Linked DNA regions of Tribolium castaneum. The protein of the gene in region 1 purifies or fractionates together with the protein of each later gene. This does not show direct contact. Links are inferred from orthologs where the notes say so. Each region holds a gene or a part of one and is shown in the gene's direction. Other genes may lie near its edges.

Evidence for each region. Proteins that work in one complex are often made in the same cells at the same time.
Region 2: the proteins of Sas10 (region 1) and U3 small nucleolar ribonucleoprotein protein IMP3 purify together in Homo sapiens (affinity purification with mass spectrometry; 3 studies listed by BioGRID and IntAct, with this or other methods). This does not show direct contact. The link is inferred for Tribolium castaneum from reciprocal best matches to the Homo sapiens genes UTP3 and IMP3.

Annotation. Positions count from the first base shown.
Region 1 is NC_087402.1:9,104,564-9,107,992, reverse strand, and holds Sas10 (something about silencing protein 10), read left to right. Parts: upstream 1-1,275; 5' UTR 1,276-1,387; coding exon 1,388-1,431; intron 1,432-1,478; coding exon 1,479-1,890; intron 1,891-1,932; coding exon 1,933-2,183; intron 2,184-2,233; coding exon 2,234-2,580; intron 2,581-2,626; coding exon 2,627-2,763; intron 2,764-2,813; coding exon 2,814-2,906; 3' UTR 2,907-2,929; downstream 2,930-3,429. Other genes in the region: CLK4-associating serine/arginine rich protein, read right to left, coding at 1-117, 165-438, 485-780, 828-925, 975-1,073; V-type proton ATPase catalytic subunit A, read right to left, coding at 3,319-3,429. UniProt on the Homo sapiens protein: Essential for gene silencing: has a role in the structure of silenced chromatin. Plays a role in the developing brain. Part of the small subunit (SSU) processome, first precursor of the small eukaryotic ribosomal subunit.
Region 2 is NC_087400.1:10,480,881-10,483,721, forward strand, and holds U3 small nucleolar ribonucleoprotein protein IMP3, read left to right. Parts: upstream 1-1,226; 5' UTR 1,227-1,294; coding exon 1,295-1,431; intron 1,432-1,476; coding exon 1,477-1,584; intron 1,585-1,631; coding exon 1,632-1,735; intron 1,736-1,781; coding exon 1,782-1,957; intron 1,958-2,007; coding exon 2,008-2,028; 3' UTR 2,029-2,341; downstream 2,342-2,841. Other genes in the region: serine/threonine-protein kinase GL21140, read right to left, coding at 164-388, 438-764. UniProt on the Homo sapiens protein: Component of the 60-80S U3 small nucleolar ribonucleoprotein (U3 snoRNP). Required for the early cleavages during pre-18S ribosomal RNA processing. Part of the small subunit (SSU) processome, first precursor of the small eukaryotic ribosomal subunit.

The DNA of each region.
Region 1 (3,429 bases):
GTCGGTGATTTCGAAGGCGATTTACTTTTCCGAAACGAAGGGTAAGTAGGTGATGTCCGTGCGGCGTAACTTGGAGGACTTATCACCCTATTAGCCAGACGTTTTTCCCTATGTGCTCTATCAAAAAAATTAGATAAAAAATACAGCTAATTGTGGATAAATACCGGCGCTCCCTTCGCGATTTTCGTCCTGAAAACAAGGCTTTTTCATGCTCTTCTTCTTTGGCAAGTCTGAAGCTTTCCGCCTCTTCAAGATCATTTGTAAGAAACGAATAAAAATCATTTGAGCTCATCCCAAAGTTTCTGCCGTGGCGATTCATTTCGTGTGCTTGAACCGAATCCATTTTTGAAACATTAATGGACAAATCAACGTCCAAATCAGAATCAGAATTGCCGTCTGATTCTTCATCATTGTGGTAGTCAGGGGCCAAAGTTTGTGCTAAAAATTCCGACTCGATTTTACCCCAACAGCGTTTAAAACCCACCAGTGTTGTCCTCGTAGTTAAACCCAATACTAGCACCTCCAGTCCTTTGCTCCTTCTTTGACTTGGACTCAGTGTAGCCAAACTGCTCCTCCAGATGCAATTGTTTCAAAAACTTCTCCTCATTGATGCTAAGGAACGAGTTTTGGGCAATAATCCGGTACCGTTCGTAATTAATTTGCCGTTCTTCAAACGTCAATTCCTCCTCTTCTTCCTTCTTAACAGGGGGGATAAAATCTAAATGTGCTCTTACATCAAAACGGTCAATTAAATTATCAGCTTGTCCTTGCCACGGCATCCTGTAACAAATTGATTGTCGCCCATTTAGTGTAATATAGGGGCTCACATTGCCGAAGCACTGTCTGCCGCAGCTGCGATGGAGGGGTCCAAGTGAATCTTGCATTGTCTTCCGTGGATTTGTAAAAACTGAGTTGGGTCGGCTTTCTATAAAACAACAGTAGATTAAATTGGATAGGAAATGAGGGAACAATACGATTTTTTCGTAGAAATCACGGCGTCGTTCTGCCCTTCGCCGATAGTCCACCAACATGCCACGAATTTTGCGTTCTTGTCGTCTTGCCTCATGCCACATGGTTTTTATGTTTAAAACTTGTGTAATCAACCGAAAATAACAATAATTAAGAGGCGGTTACAAGAAATAAAAATGCCATCACATTTCACACATCTGTCAACGCGCGTTGCGCTAACCCAAGGACGCGCTCACTTTAATTTTATGCTCCTAAAAAATTAACAATTTTTTAATAGCTCATCGCCATATAAATGAATCTACTTTAATATTTTCACAACAAAAACAGACAAAATTGATTTTTTGTTGCGATAATTATTTTTGTTTAGGGTTTTTGATTCTCCCGCCCCGTCATTACGTTACACAACCTCACTTTTTGCATGTGGACAAGTTTGAAGTCTTGTGAAAGCATGTCTCATATAAGGTGGTGTTACATTATTTTTTTGTAACACTTATAACTCCTTTTTCTAGATTTAACGAAAATGAAAGTGACTACAACCCTACAGATTCTGACGAGGATTATACCGAAAACGAGAAAATCCTTCTGAAGAAAGTGCGAAACAAACAATCTAAAGACTCAGACAGTGAGGGGGAAGTGTTTGGGGTGGGTTCTGGCACTGACGATGACGATGACCAAAGTGATATTGCACTGAGTGACGTTGAGGAGCAAGAGGACCAAGACGATTTGCCTGATATTAGGGCCTGGGGCAAAGACAAGAGGAAGTTTTATTCAACAGACTACGTAGACCCTGACTATGGGGGCTTCCAAGGTAAGGATGCCCACTTGGCCGAATTGGAGGAAGAGGAAGCAAGGAATTTACAAAAACAGTTGGCTGAACAGCTAGACGATGATGATTTTTGCTTGGATGTGCCCACCAAAAAGGTAGGGTTTAAATTTTTTGATTTTTTACTAAATCGTGGATAGGTCATTGAGGACGATAAACAAGTGTCGGAAGAATTGATCAAAAGCGACATTTCCAAATTAAGTAAAAGGCAAAAATTACAAATACTGCAAAAGGAATCGCCAGAATTCTTCGGACTGGTTGAAGATTTTGAAGAAAAAATGGTTGTCGCTCGAGACTTCCTCAAACCAGTTTTGGTTAAATTTAAAAAGGGGCAAATCCCCAACTGTTCAGCAATGGAGTTTGTGGTGACTCACCACGAATTAATTTTAAAGTATTTTTCTCAATTTTCTATTTTATTTTTCCTAATTCACAAAATTGTAGTTATTGCGTTAACATCAACATGTATTTACTGTTGAAAGCCTCAAGAGTTAACGTGCAAAACCACCCAATCATAAAACGTTTGTACCAATACAGACAACTGTTATCACAAATGACGCCAGTTTTCGAAGAGGTGATTAAGCCCCAAATTGAGTTACTCTTGAATGAAGAAGAAAAAGAAGTTCCGAAAAAAACATTAAAGGTGTTGAGCACATTGGTTAACAAAACGGAAAAGAAAGACAAGAAACCAGCAGGGAAAAAAGTCCAATTTAAACCAGAAGTGGACGAAAAAGAAGCAACAGATAATGAACAGCAAATGCAAGACGAAGAGGCAAATGTTCCCGAGAATGGTTTGATTTTTGTTTGTTGCGATTTTTTAGTCATGTTTTGTTGTAGATCCTGGCAAGAGGGCTATAACTTACCAGATTGCCAAAAATAAGGGTCTCACGCCGCACAGAAAGAAGGAACAAAGAAATCCAAGAGTGAAGCATAGGAACAAGTTTAGAAAAGCAAAAATACGAAGGAGAGGAGCTGTATGTCAACTTTTAGTATTTTTTCTTAAATTTAATTGCGCTATTTTTAGGTTCGTGAGCCGCGAACCGAAATGACGAGATATGGTGGGGAGCTTTCCGGGATTAAAGCAAGTGTTTCCAAGAGCATTAAAATTAAGACTTAATAAAAACGCATATGAAACAACAATGCTTTTATTTCTGTTTACAATAAAACAATTTATTGTGCTATTTTCTAGCTAGTTCACTTAATATTAACACAGATAACTGTACAAGTAGCCGTTTGAATAACATGATAAAATATACAACATCGAAATATGCGTAAATAACGAAAAAATAAAATGTAAAGAAAAAAAGGTCCCGATAATACTGGAAAGCTGATAATTGCACGGAAACACGAAAATAAAAATTCCTTAAAAGTAACTGGAATGAAGGGACGAAATTTAGCAATTTACCCTCACCTCTAATCTATAGGACTTAGACCTATGAACTAATTCATTTATAAACATATTGTACATTAATATCGAAAGACGGCAATTTTATAGTGAGGTTAAATATACGGCCTACAATAAAACTAATTTAATCCTCCAAGTTCCTGAAGGCTTGTTGAATATCCTCGTACAACTGGTCAAAATCGGCTTTGATTTTCGCCTCGCCGTCTTTAACTGGGTCCTTGAACTTCATACTGCT
Region 2 (2,841 bases), on another chromosome or scaffold:
CATTAATTGTAGTAAATGCAAAAAAGCTTGTATTTTTTTAACATTTTGAGTTCGTTTAGCGTTTGTGTCCTTTATTATTTTAATTATATAACGAATGAACTGGTTATTGAACTAGTAATTTTATACAGTTACTTGCTGTCTTTTCCGAGCTTGATTTTCGTACCTTTCGGGGCTTAATCCCGTTTCTAATAATGGTGACTATACGAGGCCGAACACAATCTGGAGGTATAATTCTTGGAGTGTGTGTAAGTGAGTTATTAAATTTCGTATTGGACAGTTTTTTTGATCGCAAAGTGTCGGTTTTCGTGTATTCGATTCGTTTGAACATCTCGCCTTTCCCACTACAGACGTACTCCTTACCGTCCTCTAAATCGTCCAAACTACAAACCTGGGCGAAAAAATTATTTATGGTGTCTTGATATCTGATCGGTTAATACTTTTTTGCCTTCCATTGAGTAGATGTTGCGCACACCGCTGGGGAGAGTAACATTCTTAGTCAGAATGTTCGTCAGTTCGGTCGTCAGACTGTCAAAAGACCTGTACCGTTCGGGGGCCACTGGTATGACAACTCCGTTAAAAAACTTATTCCCGTTATGGTAAAATCGGATTCTTTTCGCTTTCTGCGTCCGCGACGTCGACGAGGGCCTGCTTTTACTCAAATTTAGCTCTTCAATGCCGTTATCGATGATTTCAAAGTCGGACTGTATGCTGTTACAACTGGTCGAGGAGACGCTTCGGGAGCCGCTGATGTTGTTCTTCGACATTTTGCCAAGTGGGATCGTCACAAGGGGCGTGAAATCATCGTAACATCGTTGGTGTTTAATCAATGGGGCTGTTTTTAACCAAAACTACAAACTGGTACCGCCTATTTGCCAGCTGTCACCGAAACTACACCAAACATCAACTCCACAGATCCCCAAACCACTCTTTAGCGATTTTCAAGGTACACTTCACACACAACACAATCAAACTATAATCTCATTATGAAAAAATTAGATTTTGTGCTAAACTAACTGTTTTTACGGTTAAAAAGGTAATAACCTCTTTTCGGCAAGTGGGAGGGATGCTTGTTACGCATGGCAGCCAACCCCACGAAAATCACAGCTAAATTAAACGAAACGTAATTTCACAAACCGGACCTTATCACACGTTGGACACGGCCACAATCACAGATTGTTTAACAAACTGATTAAAAATAGCCCGCGTGAGTCAACAATTAATCAACAAATTAAATATTTTGGCCGGCGGAGTTGGCACACATGAGTGTCACCTTGACTGATCACAATTTTCAAAAATGGTCCGGAAATTAAAATTTCACGAACAAAAACTCCTGAAAAAAGTTGACTTCATATCGTGGGAAGTCGACAATAATTTGCACGAAGTGCGAGTGCTCAAAAAGTACCACATTCAGAAACGCGAGGATTATACAAAGTGAGGTTAGGTCGGTTTTGACATTTGTTTTATTTTATTTTGTAGTTACAACAAATTGGCCCGTAATATTAGAGAACTGGCCCGCAAAATTAAAGAAGTGGACGCTAAGGACCCCTTCCGGACTGAGAAAAGTGCCCAATTGTTGGAAAAACTGTAAGTTGGAACGTTGTCAAAAGTGAGGTTATGTTTTTTATTTTTAGGTATTTAATGGGGTTAATACCGACAAGGTGGGACTTAAGTCTGGCCGAGAAAGTGACAGCTTCGTGCTTTTGTCGGCGGCGACTGGCCGTTGTAATGGTTAGAAGTAAGTCGTTGTTATTGTTAGAATTTTGCCCCAAATTAATTTCTAGATAAAATGGCTGAAAATATTAAGGGGGCTACTAAATTAATTGAACAGGGGCATGTCAGGGTTGGGCCCGAGTTGGTCAAAGACCCAGCATTACTTGTAACTAGGACTTTGGAAGATTTTGTAACGTGGGTCGATAATTCCAAGATTAAACAACATGTGCTTGAATATAACGGAATGGTAAATTTTTTAAATAATGTAGAACGTGGTTTTTACCATTTTTTTTCCAGAGAGATGATTTCGTGTTGTGATAACATTTTCCTTATTAATTTTAAGTGTAGGTGGCAACACTGTCAACTAAATTTAAATTTGGTTACTCAGTTGGTTTGGTAAAACGAAACACCAAGTCCTTATAAATTTTTATTGTTTTTCCAAAACATACAGGAATTGTAAATCATTATGCCATACATGAGTGTATCAAAAATAAACAAAACCCAATTCTAAATCTTGAAAACTACAATTAAGATGATTACCAACTGTTGATACATTTAAGCAGAAGTTGTTCCAAAAGGTAGACTTTTCAATGTCTTTCTAATAATAATTCAACAAAGAAAGTGAAACAAACATTCGTTATTCGTGTTTTTCTCGTCATCTCTAATTTGTCAACATTCGTTTCCTGCACCAAAGATAACACTAGTTATTCCGCATACGCTATGCAATACTTGTGAAGCCTCAAAATTTGTACAACACACAAAATATCCAAATAAGCGCTTTTTCCGCCATTTATGGTTACTTTTTTGACCTAGCTGAGTGGCGTCTCCAACGGTAATTTTACTAAATGATTTGTCAACACTCCATAGTATACACACCAAGTCCTTGTATAGAGGTGGTTCCAAATCTGGTGGCGAACTGTCAGTGACATAAAAGTCTCTTGCACTCACTTGGTTAAGATAATGAAATACATAGACGTGCATTTTTTTCACTAAAATTTACCCAGTTGTTATTTTAACATTAATAAATTTTGAGAACGAAGATACATAAAAAAATTACTATTACTGTTAATAATCTGATCATTATTCTTCATCTTACGGATCTCATTATATTTTTTTTAAGACTATCAGTGG